Linked DNA regions of Callithrix jacchus. The protein of the gene in region 3 purifies or fractionates together with the protein of the main gene of each other region. This does not show direct contact. Links are inferred from orthologs where the notes say so. Each region holds a gene or a part of one and is shown on either strand. Other genes may lie near its edges. The genes, in order: CARD11, CSNK1A1 and MALT1.

Evidence for each region.
Region 1: the proteins of MALT1 (region 3) and CARD11 purify together in Homo sapiens (affinity purification with western blotting; 6 studies listed by BioGRID and IntAct, with this or other methods). This does not show direct contact. The link is inferred for Callithrix jacchus from reciprocal best matches to the Homo sapiens genes MALT1 and CARD11.
Region 2: the proteins of MALT1 (region 3) and CSNK1A1 purify together in Homo sapiens (affinity purification with western blotting; 3 studies listed by BioGRID and IntAct, with this or other methods). This does not show direct contact. The link is inferred for Callithrix jacchus from reciprocal best matches to the Homo sapiens genes MALT1 and CSNK1A1.

Annotation. Positions count from the first base shown.
Region 1 is NC_133503.1:19,481,947-19,486,703, forward strand, and holds part of CARD11 (caspase recruitment domain-containing protein 11), read left to right. Parts: intron 1-1,767; coding exon 1,768-1,883; intron 1,884-4,757. UniProt on the Homo sapiens protein: Adapter protein that plays a key role in adaptive immune response by transducing the activation of NF-kappa-B downstream of T-cell receptor (TCR) and B-cell receptor (BCR) engagement.
Region 2 is NC_133503.1:48,238,560-48,245,195, reverse strand, and holds the start of CSNK1A1 (casein kinase I), read left to right. Parts: upstream 1-2,676; 5' UTR 2,677-3,184; coding exon 3,185-3,307; intron 3,308-3,957; coding exon 3,958-4,064; intron 4,065-6,636.
Region 3 is NC_133514.1:101,762,877-101,768,772, forward strand, and holds part of MALT1 (mucosa-associated lymphoid tissue lymphoma translocation protein 1), read left to right. Parts: intron 1-3,451; coding exon 3,452-3,601; intron 3,602-5,896. UniProt on the Homo sapiens protein: Protease that enhances BCL10-induced activation: acts via formation of CBM complexes that channel adaptive and innate immune signaling downstream of CARD domain-containing proteins (CARD9, CARD11 and CARD14) to activate NF-kappa-B and MAP kinase p38 pathways which stimulate expression of genes encoding pro-inflammatory cytokines and chemokines.

The DNA.
Region 1 (4,757 bases), on a different chromosome or scaffold from region 3:
TGAGCTGGTGTGTGTTCGCATTGTTTAGAGGTGTGTGTGTGTCTGGTTGTGATAACAAGGGCCAGAGATAGAGAATGAGCTCATCAGGGCAAGAGGCAGAACGAACGTGAAGGTGACAGGTATCCCATTCACCAAACAAGGGGAAAATGGGACGTCACAAGTGTTATTAGCGACGATGCAGAGATCGTGTGCATTATAGAGTCTTTGAGGCAGACGGCGTGACCTAAGCATTGAGTTCTTCCTCATCCCAGCACCCGATGAAGGAAGAGTTGTCACTCTGCATTAGTGGTGTGCTCCCCCAGCTGCCAGGGGCTGGCTCCATGGTGGACGCTGACCTTGGGGACACCAAGAGCAAGTGATGGTGTTTTTTAAAGTCTGGGCCACAGCAGTTTAGGAAATTCTGACAGCTGGAGTGGATAAAAAGCAAGTGGGCAGGGCTTGAGCCAAGATTGTTTTTAGCTGAAAAGAAGATCCGACGGCTGTCCCACAGATCTGTGCTCTTAGAAATGTAGGCCATGGTCCTGCTGGCAGGGAATGGAGAGCAGGGGTCTGCGGGAGGCTAAGCAGGGCTCTGGGCTGGCCATTCCCGCCTCCAGACACGGATGCTAGTTCCAGGCTGTGTTCAGTGTGCAAAATTTATTGAGCTGCGAACTTAAAATGCTCTATTTATGTTCCATTCCAATGCAAAGTTTAATGTTGTATTGATTTAGAGTCGGTCGCGCTCTGTTGCCCAGGCTGGAGTGCAGTGACACGATTAGAGCCTACTGCAGCCGAGACTTCTAGACTCAAGCAACCCTCCCCCACTGCCTCCCGAGCAGCTAGGACTATGGTTATGCACCACCATGCCCAGCTAATGATTTTTAAATTTTTTTAGAGATAGGGTCTTGTTATGTTGCCCAGCTCTCAAACTCCTAGTGTCAAGCAATCCTCCCACCTCTCAAAGTGCTGGGATTGCTGGCATGAACCATTGTGCCTGGCCAACGTTTGGTGGAATTTTTTTTAAGCAATGCCTTCAGCAAAACATAGATGGTCCTTTCTCAAAATGATGAGCTCCTGGTTGAGGACCCTTGCAGATACTCTTGGGACTGGCCAGCCTGACTGCCTCCCCCATGTGTTCCCTACCCTCTTACTTGAAGGCTGGCTAGGGTAGCAGGTGTTTAGGGGGTTTTGTGTGTGTGTGTATGTGTGTGTGTGTGTGTGTGTATGTGTGTGTGTTTGAGACAGAGTCTTGCTCTGTCACCCAGGCTGGAGTGCAATGGCACCATCTCGGCTCACTGCAACCTCCGCTTCCTGGGTTCAAGCAATACTCGTGCCTCAGCCTCCTGACTAGCTGGGATTACAGGTGCATGCCACCACGCCTGGCTAATTTTTGTACTTTTAATAGAGACGGGGTTTCGCCATGTTGATCAGGCTGGTCTCGAACTCCTGACCTCAAGTGATCCGCTCGCCTCAGCCTCCCAAAGCACAAGGATTACAGGCGTGAGCCACCATGCCAGGCTGGTAGCAGGTGTTTCATTCAAACTCATTCACACCACCTGGTTCACCGCAGCCGGGGCCTCATCTCTGCCCATGAACAGCACTGTGGTCAGCAGAGTCCTGGAGTATCCTGACTCATGGGGAGTCTTATCTCCTGGATCAGTGGCAGGTGGCTTTCAGGGCTCCCACCCCACTATCGACCCCAACCCTGCATCCAGGCCCCACCACATGCACCTTCATAGGAGCAGGAGGTGGGTGGGCTGCTGCTGACTGAAGCCACTGTGCCCGCAGAACAAGCACTGCCTGCTGGAGGCTGGGATCAGCTGCGCGAGAGCCTTGATCAAGGCCAACATCTACCCCATCGTGCTCTTCATCAGGGTGTGTGAGAAGAACATCAAGAGGTTCAGGTAGGGCTCCGAGACCCCTGGGGGCTGCCCCTCCTGTCCCTAGCACCCCATCAAGCCTCAGTGGAGGACAGGATGCCTGTGTGCCCCACCTCATGCACCCCTTAGTAAACCCTCACCAAGTACGGGACCGTCCCTTCAGAGCTGACACCTAGGGCAGCGGCCGAGGTGGTGACTCACACACATGGGATACATCATGGGGGACAAGAGTTAGGAGGGACGGGGTGGAGTGCACATCACCCGGGGTGGTCAGGGAAGGCCTTCAGGATGCATCAGCGAGACCCACGGCTGTAAGTGAGGATCCTGTCTGGGAGGCGATGAGAGGCAGTCCGACTCTGGACCTGTGTTCAGGACCAAGCCTGCAAGATTCAGGAAAGGGTTTACTCTGGGGTTCCAAAGAACGAGAGGCCAGGCGCAGTAGGTCACACCTGTCATCCCACACTTTGGAAGGCCAAGGTGGGCGGATCAGCTGAAGCTGGGTATTTGAGACAAGCGTGGCCAACATGGTGAAACCCCATCTCTACCAAAAATACAAAAATTAAGCCGGGCATGGTGGCTCAGGCCTGTAATCCCAGCACTCTGGGAGGCCGATGCAGGTGGATCATGAGGTCAGGAGTTTGACCTCATGACAGCCTGGTCAACATGGTGAAATCACGTCTCTACTGAAAAATACAAAAATAAGCCAGGTGTGGTGGCACATGCCTGTAATCCCATCTACACTTGAATCCAGGAGGTGGAGGTTGCAGTGAGCCGAGATTGTGCCACTGCACTCCAGCCTGGGTGGCAGAGTGAGACTCTATCTAGAAAAAAAAAATACAAAAATTAGCTGGATGTGGGGGTGCACCCCTGTAGTCCCAGCTATTTAGGAGGCTGAAACAGGAGAATCACTTGAACATAGGAGGTGGAGGTTGCTATAAGCTGAGATTGCACCACTGCACTCCAGCCTAGGCAAGAGAGAGAGACTCCAGCTCAAAAAAAAAAAAAAAAGGATGGTGCTGAGGTTTGGAGCCTGGGTGATGAGGACAGACTTGCCCTCCAGCGGCTTCATCTCAGATCCTTGCCCCTCCTGACATGCATCTGCAAAATAAATGTCCTGCTGCCACTTTACAGAGGGAATCACTGAGACTGGGAGGGGTTAGGCCCCTTCATTTCTTTTCACCAGATACTTACTGAGCTCCTGTGAAGGGTTAGGCTCTGGGGAACCCAGCAGTGAGCAAAAGAGACAGACATCCCCACTCAATACCTCACATCCTTTAGGCTGGCTAAGACTGAAAATGCAGAAACTGACAAGTGTTGGTGAGGAGGTTAGATGTCAGAACCCAGCACGCTGCTGCTGAAAGTGCAAAGTAGAGCAGCCCCTGTGGAGGACGGCATGGCGCTTCCTCAAAAATTAGAAATAGAAGACCACAGGATCCATCAACCCACCTGCGGGCATATCCCCAAGGGAACTGAAAGCAGAGTCTCTAAGAGATATTTCCACGCCGGCATTCACACCAGCGTCACTCCCAATAGCCAAAACCTGGAAGTCACCTAAGGGTCCATCAGCGGGGAGTGAATACACACAATGGGGCCCGTCCACACAGGTTAGGAAGGTGTTAAGAGCTGAAAACCTTGCAAACTGTTAACCAAAAAGACTTGAAATAAAGAAATCATAATACATGTTAATATAAGAGAAATTATAGCCTGGTACATGCCTATAGTCCCCCTTCCCCATCCGTCCTGCCTGGAAATGTGTTTGTGGTGCAGAGTGTACTGCACCAAAAATGCTGTATGATTTTTTGGGTGGTTTTTTTTTTTTTTTTTGAGATGGAGTCTTGCTCTGTTGCCTAGGCTGGAGTACAGTGGTGCCATCTCAGCTCACTGCAGCCTCCGCTTCCCGGGTTCAAGTGATTCTCCTGTCTCAGCCTCCCAAGTAGCTGGGATAACAGGTGCCTGCCACCATGCCTGGCTAATTTGTGTATTTTTACTAGAGATGGGGTTTCACCATGTTGCCCGGGCTGGTCTCGAACTCCTGACTTCAAGTTATCCTCCCCCTCAGCCTCCCAGAGTGCTAGCATTATAGATGTGAGCCACCATGCCCAGCCCATACAGTGGAATATTATTCAGCCTTCAAAAGGAAGGAGATTCTGACACCCACGTCAACATGGGTGAACCTTGAGGACGTTATTCCGTCAAATAAGCCAATCACAAAAACACACGTGCTGTATCCGATTCCACTTATATAAGGTCTCTAGAGCAGTCAGATTCCTGGAGACAGGAAGTAGAAGGGTGGTTCCCAGAGACTGCGGGAGGGAAGATGGGGCGTGAGTATTTTATTGGTCCAGAGTTGCAGTTTGGGAAGATGAGGAAGTCTGGAGATGGTTGCACAGCAGTGTATACCTAATGCTACACAGAACATACCTAATGCTACTAAATTCTTCACTGAAAGAATAAGTAAAACGGTCGATTTTATTTTATGCATATCTTAGCACAATTAGAAATTAAAAGGATGTAGCCGGGCGCAGTGGCTCATGCCTGTAATCCCAAATTTGGGAGGCCGAGGCGGGTGAATCATTTGAGGTCAGTAGTTCGAGACCAGCCTGGCAACATGATGAAACCCCATCTCTACTAAAAATACAAAACTTAGCCAGGCATGGTGGTGCGTGCCTATAGTCCCAGGTACTCAGGAGGCTGAGGCAGGACAATTGCTTGGACCTGGGAGACGGAGGTTGCAGTGAGCTGAGATCACGCCACTGCACTCCAGCCTGGGCAACAGAGCAAGACTCCATCTCAAAATAAAAATAAAAATAAAAAGAATGGGTTTGGAATTTCCAGTGAACAGCATGAAGGGGCATGGTCCCTAGCATTAAGAGTCACAAATGATATAAGGGAGAAGCA
Region 2 (6,636 bases), on a different chromosome or scaffold from region 3:
TAGCTGGGCATGGTGGTGTGTGCCTGTAGTCCCAGCTACTCAGGAGGCTGAGGCAGGAGAATTGCCTGAACCCAGGAGGCGGAGGTTGCGGAGAGCCGAGATCACGCCATTGCACTCCAGCCTGGGTAACAAGAGCGAAACTCCGTCTCAAAAAAAAAAAAAAAAAAGAAAGAAAATTAGCAAAATAGTAGTGATCTCTGGAAAACTCAAGATGCTTAAACTTGGCTTTTTTTTTTTTGAGATGAAGTTTTGCTTTTGTTGCCCAGGGACCAGGCTGGAGTATGACGGTATGATCTCGGCTCACCACAGCCTCTGCTTCTCGGGTTCAAGCGATTCTCTTGCCTTAGCCCCCTGAGTAGCTGGGATTACAGGAATGTGCCACCACACTCAGCTAATTTTGCATTTTTAGTAGAGACAGTTTCTATATGTTGGTCAGGCTGGTCCTGAACTCCTGACCTCAGGTGATCCACCTGCCTAGGCTTCCCAAAGTGCTGGGATTACAGGTGTGAGCCACCATGTCTAGCCATATTTGGCTTTTTTTTTTTTTTAATTTTAGACCAGAGTTTAACAGCAGATTTTAACTTAGTCAAAATGTGCTTTCGAGTCACCAAAGGCAAATGATGTCTAATAGGGCTGATTTGGGAGTTGGGCACCCCAGGTGTTGGTTGTGCTTTAAAACTTCATGCTAAACCTTAGGGGAAGTCTTTTCCCCTCTCTCTTCAGTTAAGATCTCTTCCAAGATGAACCCTATTACTAATTACCTGATCAGCTTTCAAAGTTGCAGTTAAAATACTTCACATTTTTTTCCATTTGTACTTATAATTTTTTTTTTGAGACAGGGTCTCTCTGTTGCCCGGGTTGAAAGTGCAGTGGCGTGATCTACGCTCACCACAATCTCTGCCTTCCGGGTTCAAATGATTCTCAGCTTCCCGAGAAGCTGGGGTTACAAGTGTGTGCCACCACACATGGCAGATTTTTGTATTTTTAGTGGAGATGGGGTTTCACCATGTTGTCCAGCTAGTCTTGAATTCTGACCTCTGGTGATCCAAACACCTTGGCCTCCCAAAGTGCTGGGATTACAGGCGTGAGCCACCACTCCTGGCCATCAAATTTTGTAAAACAATATGTGGTCAAGATTTCATTCTCTGATCTATTTTTAGTAAAAAGAAAAAAATTACCGTGTAGTTTGTTTTGTTTTTGAGACACAGTCTTACTCTGTCACCCAGCTGGAGTGCAGAGGCATGATCTTGGCTCACTGCAACCTCCATCTCCCAGGTTCAAGCGATTCTCCTCTCTCAGCCTCCTGAGTACCTAGGACTACAGGCGCCTGCCATCACGCCCAGCTAATTTTTGTATTTTTAGTAGAGATGGGGTTTCACCATGTTGGCCAGGATAGTCTTGATCTCTTGTCCTCGTGATACCCCCGCCTCAGCCTCCCAAAGTGCTGGGATTACAGGCGTGAGCCACCGTGCCCCTGGCTACCATATGGTTTTAAATGTTGTCAATTATGTTTTGCGACAGTTACCTCTGCTATATGTTAAGGTTAATATTGAGGTTTTCCATATGACCAACATATGATTCTTTTTTTTTTTTTCGTTTTTTTGGTGGGATTGGGAGGAGGGCTAGAACAGTTTTTTCACTCTTGTTAATTTTCTGTTGATTCCACCTATTACTAATCTTCATTATGGCAAGATACCCGGTTTTCTCATGAAGATCAAATGTGGTAGTGGGGCAATAATGCAAAGACAAAGGACGGTAGGAGGATTCCGGCTTCTTTTTTCCCCTCCTGAGCAAACAGGGTCTCTAACACTCCGTAGTAGAGAACACAGTTCTATTTATGAAGGGTAATTAGCTGGGCTTTGCTACAACCGAGAGCCCTGAACGATTCGATCAGCCCGATACGCGGGCTGCTTTTCTCTTCTTCTCCACCAGAGGCGATAGCCTCTTTCCAAACAGAAACTTGGTTGCAATAGGCCGGTCGGGGGGAGCGGCCAGAAGATCAAAGATTAAAAACCGCCTGAAACAGGCCGGGCGCGGTGGCTCATACCTATAATCCCAGCACTTTGGGAGGCCGAGGCGGGTGGATCACGAGGTCAAGAGATCGAGACCATCCTGGTCAACATGGTGAAACCCTGTCTCTACTAAAAGTACAAAAAAAAAAATTGGCTGGGCATAGTGGCGTGGGCCTGTAATCCCAGCTACTCGGGAGGCTGAGGCAGGAGAATTGCTTGAACCCAGGAGGCGGAGGCTGCGGTGAGCCGAGATCGCGCCATTGCACTCCAGCCTGGGTAACAAGAGTGAAACTCCGTCTCAAAAAAAAAAAAAAAAAAACCTCCTGAAACAAAGAGCAAAGGTCAATACCAAACTCCTAAGGAGGCCTGAAGCTTTTATCTGTTAGGAAACGGGAAGGTGACTTCTCCCTGACATCGGTGCCTGAGGCCACTCAGCCTTCCAGAGACCGGGCGGGTCCGGGCGGGTCCGTGGTAACAGGTAGCACCGGCTGAACAGCCGCCAACCGGAAGTGGAAGAGAGCCTGGGGCGGGGTGAGTACCAGCCGCGGCACGCCTGCGCAGTCAGCAGGAGTTACAGTGCTCATGCGCAGCTGGGCGGTGACGAGGTGACGCTTGGAGCGTGGGCCGCGACTCTCACGGATCCGGTTCCGCCCTCCCTCTGGCTGCAGATCCTCCGGAGCGAGCGCCCGAGATCCCTTTCCCAGAGTGCTCTGCGCCGTGAAGAAGCGGCTCCCGGGGACTGGGGGCATTTTGTGTTGGCTGGAGCTGGAGTAACAAGATGGCGTCGTCGGCGGAGTGACAGGGGTCCCTCCGGGCCGGAGCCAGCAGCAGTGCTGGCAGTGGTATCGCCGCCCTAGCTCACCGCGCCCCTTTTCCTGCCCGCGACGTCGCCGCTCAAGCAGGCATCGGCCGCCAACGAGAACAAGTGGCCCAGCCTGGTAGCCGCGAGAAGCCCTTCACAAAGTGCGGCCTGGCAAAAAGAAACCTGACTGAGCGGTGGTGATCAGGTTCCCCTCGGCTGATTCTGGGCCCCGAACGCCGGTAAAGGCCTCTGTGTTCCGTTTCCTGCTGCCTTCCTCCGTAGCCTTGCCCGGTGTAGGAGCTCGAGAGGTCTCCGTCTTCCCCTCAGAGGTGTCGGGGCTTGGCCCCAGCCTCCATCTTCGTCTCTCAGGATGGCGAGCAGCAGCGGCTCCAAGGCCGAATTCATTGTCGGAGGGAAATACAAACTGGTACGGAAGATCGGGTCTGGCTCCTTCGGGGACATCTATCTGGCGATCAACATCACCAACGGCGAGGTAATCACCTGGGGTAGGGTTGACGATAACGCTGGGCATTTCCTCATTCCCCGCCCCCACCACCGCGCACCCCTAAAGTGCTTGGGCCTCTCCCCACCGCACGCACTCGTCAGGGAGTCCAGAGAGCTAGTTTTCCTGGCTTTTGAACCTCCCCCGCTCTTTCCCTAAAAGGATCAAGAACCCGATAGAAAGGTTGGGGAAGGTTCCCAGCTTGTTAAACACGTCCCATAAATGTCCCTTAGTTGAACTTTTTTTTTTTTAACCGTTTTTTAAGGTGGAAACGGCAAAATCCTATTTCTGTGATTCCCATGCTTTTATTTTATTTTATTTTTAATTCTGCTGGCCTCTTATTCCAATTAGAACAGTTTCCGATCGCCTAGTTCCTTAAAAACCTCTCATTACGTTCAGAGGTTGCCTCTTTTTTTCTGGATGAATCATTTTCCTGCACTTTAGAAGAGGTAGGGATTTCGTCACTACCCCCTGAAGAGGCTGGTTGCCTCATTTTATAATTACAGAGAGCTTTCTCTTTCCAGTCTTTCGCTTTTTCCCTGTAGTCGCGACTTGGAGTTTTGCTAATGTCTCTCCCTCCTTTCCTAAGTGACATTGAATCCGTAGGGATGTTGATGCCATCATCCCTCTTTCCCCTGCAGGAAGTGGCAGTGAAGCTAGAATCTCAGAAGGCCAGGCATCCCCAGTTGCTGTACGAGAGCAAGCTCTATAAGATTCTTCAAGGTGGGGTTGGCATCCCCCACATACGGTAAGAACCCTGTGCATATAGGCGGTCTGCTGAGGGAAGCACGGAATGGGGAAGTGGGTAGAGGCAGGTAAGGAGACCAGCTGAATCCAGGTCTTGGTGTTTCAGTTACCTGGGTTCCCTACAGCTAGTGGCTTCCTGTAAGTCAGTTATCGCAATCACTGAGTAAATTTCAGTTTGCTAACTTAGTTTAAAATTTCATTGTATTACACTGTGTCCCATTTCGCTTCCGTCATTTCTCCCTCTTCCCGAGGCTTTCATTTGCAGTAAAGTGTGCAGGTCATCTTTGATCTCTACGCGGAAGGTTTGACTGCTGCCTTTTTTACGGCGGCATGTCTGGTGTTCAGAGGTTTGCTCAGTGAAGTGGATTTGAAGGTGGCGAAGCGACAGGGCAGTGTCATTTCGGGTTGCTATTGGAGCTGGCTTGGGAAATGGCTGCTCTTTTGTTGTGTTTTTGTTCCAACATGTCTTCCTCCTCCGCTTAGAAAATGGCGGAACGACGTGACTCAACCCCATATTCCTGCCCTTTTCTCAGCTTGGGTTCACAAATTATGCTTCCTTGATACCTCCTTCAGCAGCCCCAAGTGGTTTAAACCTTTGAAAAAGTCAAGAATAAAGCTGCAGGAGCCAGTGGGGTTCCAGGAAGGACATGGCATAGTGACAATGTTTGTGATCTCGTCAGCAGATATGATACGAAATTGTTGAATTATACTATGTAAAATCCTTTGTAGTTCTTTTAAAAGTGTTAATTACTCTTTCCTTTAGTGAATGGTCATGTTTGTCACTTTTCAGTCCAAACTAAATTTGTATAGATAGTGGCAGAGGCAGTTTGAGCACCACCATGTTAAAATTTACTCAGCTCAGTTTTATTAAAAGAGAGCTTAATCACTTAGCCACACTTTGATAAGTAATTTTAACCTGTTGAGTTTATCAGTAAATTTTAACATCAGAGAAATTGTGGCCTTTTTTGGTGTGGAATATTGGTGGATACAAATAGTGGTAATGAGGATACAAGGTGACGAGATAGAAATACATTGTTCCGTCAACTCTTGAGGGTTTTAGAGTAATGTTTTGACTTTAGGGATTAAAAGAGCCTCTTCATGGAATAGAGACTAAAATGTAGTTTAAAACCCAGCTGTTTTCCAGCGATAATAAAAAAAAATTTGCAAAAATTTTCAGAATAGTTGAGAATGGTATTTACTGTTTACTGGAGCCTCTTTTTTTGTTTTGTTGTTGTTGTTTTTGTTTTGAAATGGCGTTTTTGCTCTTGCCACCTAGGTTGGAGCGCAGTCACACGATCTCTGCTCACTGCAACCTGTGCCTCCCAGGTTCAAACGATTCTTGTGCCTCAGGCTCCAGAGTAGCTGGGACTACAGGCTGGTGCCACCACGCCCAGCTAATTTTTTGTATTTTTAGTAGAGACGGGGTTTCACCATCTTAGCCAGATGGTCTCCATCTCCTGGCCTCGTGACCTGCTCTCTCGGCCTCCCAAAGTGCCGGGATTACAGGTGTGAGCCGCCACGCCTGGCCTAATTTTTGTATTTTTAGTAGAAAAGGGGTTTCACCACGTTTGTCAGGCTGGCCTGGAACTCCTGACCTCAGGTCATTTTCCCACCTCAGCCTCCGAAAATGCTGGGATTATGGGTGTGAGCCACCAATCCTGGCTTTTTTTTTTTTTTGAGAGGAGTCTTACTCTGTTGCCCAGGCTGGAGTACAGTGGCACCATCTCGACTCACTGCAACCTTCGACTCCCGGGTTCAAGCGATCCTCCTGCCTCAGCCTCCTAAGTATCTGGAATTACAGGCCTGCGCCACCATGCCCAGCTAATTTTTTGTTTGTTTAGTAGAGATGAGGTTTCACCATGTTGGCCAGGGTGGTCTCAAACTCCTGACCTCAGGTGATCTACTGGCATGGCCTCCCAAAGTGCTGGAATTATAGGCGTGAGGCACTATGCCAGGCTTGTAGCCCCTTTTCTATTTCAGGTTTTTTTTTTTTCAGATCTTGAATTAAGGACTGGATTGCATAGTGCTTACATGGAAACAACACAAATAAAACTATCCTAAAAAAAAGTTCCAAAGCTGTTAGTTTTTATTTTCTATTAAAAAAAAAATTTTTTTTTTTTTTTGAAGGGACGGGGTTTCACTGTATTGGTCAGGCTGGTCTTGAACTCCTGACCTCAGGTGATCCACCTGCCTCGGCCTCCCAAAGTGCTGGGGATTACTGGCGTGAGCCACCGCGCCGGGCCAGCTGTTAGTTTTGACGGAGAACTGAATGATAAAATTTGCTATTGGTTGTAAATGGGCAGGTAAATCACTTGGAAGAAAATTCCAAATTTATCTTTTGACGTAAAGATTAATGTGAAATCTAAGATGATACAGATTTGAGGTTTCAATTTATTTATTTTTTAAAATTTTATTTATTTATTTATTATTATTTTTTTAAAGATGGGGTTTCACCCTGATGGCCAGGCTGGTTTTGAACTCCTGACTTCAGGTGATCCACCCACCTGGGCCTCCCAAAGTGATAGGATTACAGGTGTGAGCCACTGTGCCGGGCCTGATTTGAGGTTTTTAAA
Region 3 (5,896 bases):
TATGTGAAACATCTGTTCATGTCATTTGTCCATTTTCCTACTGCGTGGGTTTTTTACTTATAGATTTAGAGGAATGTTGTATGGGTTCTTGATGTGATATTAGCTAGGACCTCTAAGACACTATTGAAATAGAAGTGGTAGTTGTGGGCATCCTTGTCTCGTTTCTGACTTTAAAGGGAATACTGCTAATGTTTTCACATTTAGAATAATACTGTAAGTTTTTTTTAATACTCTTTATTGGGTTTAGGAAGTTCTCTTCACCTAATTTTTTTGAAAGTTTTTATTATGAATAAATGTTGAACAAGATTAAATGGTCTTTCTGCAGCTATGAAAAGATAATAGGATGTTTCTTTTTCAATTTCTTAATATGGTGAGTTAAATTAATGGATAGTCTAAAATTAATCCAACTTGAGATAAATCATTTTCATTGGCATATATTTTTAATACACTACTAGATTTAATTTGCTGTCATTTTGTTTAGAATTTTTGTATCTATTTTCATATGGGAAATAGGCCTGTAATTTTACTTTCATATAGTATTTGGTTTAATTTTTGTTGTTGTTGTTTAATTTTATGAGAAAATAAAATTAGTATTTAGTGGTATCAGTGTTATCAGTATTCGTGGCATGCAGAGTATCATTGTTGTGCTGGCCTTGTAGAATGAGATGGAGGTTGTGATGGTTGATTTTATGTCAACTTTCACTAGGCCTCAGTGCCAAGGTATTTATTTAGTTATTTAGATTATTCAAGATGTGATGGATCCAGCATTATTCTGGACAAGATTAAAGTTTAAATTGATGGACTTTGAGTAAATCAGATTGCCCTCCATAATGGTGATGCACGTCATCCAGTTAGCTGAAGGCCTTACTGGAGCAAAGACGGACCTCCCACAAGCAAGGAGTTTGCCAGCAACCTGCCTTTGGGGCTCAGACTACAACTATTCTCTGCATCCCCACCCTGCCTGCCTGCCCTGCAGATTTCAGACTTGCACTGCCACAATTTCATAAACCAATACCTTAAGTTAATCTCTTCTTCTCCCTCTATATATATACACACACATGCACGTACACGCATGCATGCACGTATGCATACACGCATCCTATTGGTACTGCTTCTCTGGAGAACTCTAATACAGGAGTACACCCTGTTGTTTACTGGGAAATTTTCTATAAATTATGATCTCTTCCCTAATGTTTATGGGAGAACTTGCCTATAAGCCAATCTAGGATTTGTTTTGTTTTGTTTTTGGTAGATTTTTAACTACTGTTTTAATATCTTGAATATTTCTTTTACCATGTAGGCTTTTCATTTCTTTTTTGAGTCAATTTTGACAAGTTATATTTTCCTAGGAATTTGGGCAATTTTCAGATTTGTTGTCATTTAGTTGCCCATATTTCTAATAGTATTCTTTAATCTCCGCTTTCTCTGTAGTTACACACCCCTTTTCATCAGTGTTACTTGTACCTGCTTTCCTTTTTTCTTTATTGCCAGCTTTGGCCCATTGTGCTATTTTGTATTGAAGAACCAATCTTTGGCTCTGTTGATTTCTTCTACTTTTTCACTGTTTTCTAAATCATTAACTTCTGTTTGTTTATGTCTTGCCTTGCATTTATTCTTTTTCTAACATCATAAATAGTTCATTCACTTTTAGCCTATTTTTTCCAGTTTAAGTTTCTAAGTCTGTATATCTCTCTTAGAACATCACTTTCATCACATCCTACAGGTTTAGATTTTTTAATTTCTGCTTTTTCTTTAAGTTATATAATATTGTCTTTAATTTTCAAACACGGCAGGAATTTTTATTTAGCTTTTCAGTTTTTATTTCTACCTTAATTGCTTTGTGATCAAACAAACTCTGTCTAGTTGCCATGCTTTGAAATTTGTGAGTTTTCATTATGGCCAAGTAAAAGATGAAATTTTGTCAATTTTGCATGTGTACTTGAGAAAAATTGATATTTTTATAGTGACTGGTTGTAGAGCTTTATGTATGCCCATTAGGTTTGGCGTATTAATTTTTGTTCAGTTCTGTATTTCTGCTGATTTTTGATCAATAGTTGAGATGCTGAAATCTCTCAATTTACCTAATTTTTCTTGTAATTATAGCAATTTTTACTTCATAATATGTATTAGTAGATACTTACATATAATAAATACATATAACTAATACATACATATAACTAATAACCCTAACCCTAACCATGTATTAGGGTTATTAGTTATTACATACATATAACTAATACATACATATAACTAATAACCCTAACCATATATTAGGGTTATTAGTTATTATATACATATAACTAATACATACATAGAACTCCTAATACATACATATTATGACTATTTTATTGTGCTTTAAATGTTTATATTTTCTTACTGAATTGAACGTTTTATTATGTAGTGATGCCTCCATTCCAAATAATGCTTTTTGTTTTTTTGTATCGTCATAGAGCCATACCAGCTTCCTTTTTGTTGACCTAATATGTTATTCTTTACACTTTTACTTTCAAACATTTCATGTTGTTCTGCTTTACTGTAGCTTTTGGAGGCATCATATAACAAATTGTTTAAAATCCAATCTGAGTCTTTTAATGAGAAAATTAAGTTCATTTGCGTTTGTTATTTTTTGTATCTGTTTTTACTATCTAATTTTTTTATTTGGCTCATTTTCCTTTTTATATCTTTTCTTCTCCAACAAATACTAATTTTGAGGTACTTTTACAACACTTGGTGTCTCCTTTTAACCCCCAACAGGCTGATTTAACTTAGACTTTGTTCTGGATCACTGAATATTTTTGTCTTTTTTTTCTTTTTTTTTAAAGAACCTTACTATTGTGAATTTATAACATAGCAGAAAGAAGTAGGATAAACTATAACTTAAAGAACATGATAGTCCAAATTTAAACTGATGTGTATCCATATACATTAGTCTGTATCTAAAACATGTTGAATGAAAATGGCACATTACAAAGACATACATGTAACATTTTTGTTGAATTCAAAAACGTAAAACATTGGCATATACTATTTATGAATATCTACACATGAGTAAAAATTAAAACATGCCTGCTGTGTCTACCACATAGTAGGTGCTCAGGAAATATTTGTTGAGTGGATAAATGATACTGAGAATGTAACCTGATAACGTAGGGTAGTTATTAGCCTAAATATTTAAAACATAAGAATTGGTGGTCTTAAAATAGTATTGGCCGAACATGGTGGCTCGTGCCTGTGATCCAGCACTTTGGGAAGCAGAGAGGCAGGTGGATCATGAGGTCAGGCGTTCAAAACTAAAAATACAAAATAGCTGGGCACCTGTAATCCCAGCTATTCGGGAGGCTGAGGCAGAGGTTGCAGTGAGCTGAGATCACACCACTGCACTCCAGCTTGGGTTGGGCAGCAGAGCGAGATTTCATCTCAAAAAAATAATATTTCTTTTCATATCTTTTAGATATGGGTAAGTGTCACCTTACCAAAGGCAAACAGGCTTTAGAGATTCGAAGTAGTTTATCTGAGAAGAGAGCACTTACTGATCCAATACAGGGAACAGAATATTCTGCAGAATCTCTGGTGCGGAATCTACAGTGGGCCAAGGCTCATGGTATAGTAAAGTCTGTTTTTTGTTTGATCTATAATATATTTATCTTAAGTCATATAGTTTTCTTCTTCTGAATAACTAACTTTCCTCCCAGTTTTACAATGAAAATATTTTGGCCTACCAGACAAATCTCAAACCAAACAAATGTTTCAATTATGGATATTAATTACACTGGTTTATTTGATGTTGGAAATACAAATTATTTAGCCCATTATTTTCACTATTGGTAAAATTAAAATAACCATTTAAAAATTTTTCTATTTTAAAAATAGGTTAATTTTCCATTTGTCTAATACATAATCCCTTAGATTCTCCTGTATTGCGACCTGTTAAAGTGTGCAGCTGTCAAAATTCGTGGATTTGGGGTCTGATCCAGTCTGAACCAATCTATGAACATGTTATCTATAACATGAATAAGAAATAGTATCTGTTTCAGGCCAGGCGCAGTGACTCACACCTGTAAACCTAGCACTTTGGGAGGCTAAAGCAGGTAGATCACCTGAGGTTAGGAGTTCAAGACCAGCCTGGGAAACATGGCAAAACCTTGTCTCTACTAAAAACACAAAAAGTTAGCAGGGCGTGGTGGCATGTTCCTGTAATTCCAACCACTAGGCACTGATACAAGAGAATCCCTTGCACGTTGGAGGTAGAGGTTGCAGTGCAGTGAGCAGAGACTGTGCCACTGCACTCCAGTCTGGGTAACAGAACATGACTCCATCTCGAAAATAAAATAAATAGTACCTGCTTCGTAGGTTATTGGGATTGAGTGATGGCACAGGTAGAAATGAGCATGGCACTCAGCAAATCCTCTGTGCTTGTGATTACTAATATAACTCAGCATCCTCTCTTGGATACTTGATCAGTAGGTTGATCAAATAGGTTGATCAACAATCAGTCTGTAGCATAATTACCTTTGGGTAATTGTATATGGTTTAATGAAAAAATACGTTTAAATTACTGATTGAAATATTGTGGATTTTCTGAGTCCAAGTATCTATTCTGTGAGTCTCTTATAATTGTATTTATTGAAGTTCCATAAAATATTTTTACAATAATTTTTGTTCTTGGCCAGGCTTGGTGGCTCATGTCTGTAATCCCAGCACTTTGGGAGGCCGAGATGGGTGGATCACCTGAGGTCAGGAGTTCAAGACCAGCCTGGCCAACATGGTGAAACTCCCTCTCTACTAAAAATATAAAAATTAGCTGAGCACCTATAATCCCAGTTACTCTGAATACTGAGCCAGGAGAATCGCATGAACACAGGAGTTGGAGGTTGCAGTAAGCCAAGGTTGCACTATTGCACTCCAGCCTGAAAACGGTCTCAAAAAAAAAAAAAAATTGTTCTCCAATATATATTTTTGGTAAGTTAACATATTAAAGCACATTAAAATGTAAAATGCCATAAATATCTCACCATTCCAGATAACTGGAGAAGTAATTAAAATTGAATGTCTTTTCTCTATAGAAGATCTAAAGAACAAACAATAACAAAATTATAGGGGTAAAGATCAACAGTAAACGAAACCTCATAACACTAAAAGGTCATAGAGAAAGTATTTGTAACAGGCCAGGCATGGTGTAATCCCAGCACTTTAGGGGGCTGAGGTGGGAGGATCACAAGGTCAGGAGATCAAGATCATCCTGGCCAACATGGTAAAACACCATCTCTGCTAAAAACAGAAAAAAATTAGCTGGATGTGGTGACATGCACCTGTAGTTCTAGCTACTAAGGAAGCTGAGGCAGGAGAATCACTTGAACCCAAGAGACGGAGGTTGCAGTGAGCTAAGATCACACCACCACACTCCAGCTTGGTGACAGAGTGAGACTCCATCTCAAAAAAAAAAAAAAAAAAGTATTTGTAACGAATTTAATCAAGTAGGTCATTTTTAAAATATTTTTTAATAATGAGCTCATACAAAATGCTAAGAGAAAAAAATTAAGACTCCTCAGTAAACAAGCAAATGGATGCAAATTCAATAATCCACATTTCTAGAAGTATATTAATTGAGAAAGAAATCTTAAAAATGGCTAATTTAAGTAACTAAGGAATAATTAAAACTATGATGATATCTTTCTACTTTTTAATCCCATCAAGTAGACAGTTGTTTTAAAAATTATTAAAACTGTTTTGGACATGTTATGGTAAAACTTTATATTCCATGTAAATTAAAAATAATTTGTCCCGGGCCGGGCGCGGTGGCTCACGCCTGTAATCCCAGCACTTTGGGAGGCCGAGGCGGGTGGATCACAAGGTCAAGAGATCGAGACCATCCAGGTCAACATGGTGAAACCCCGTC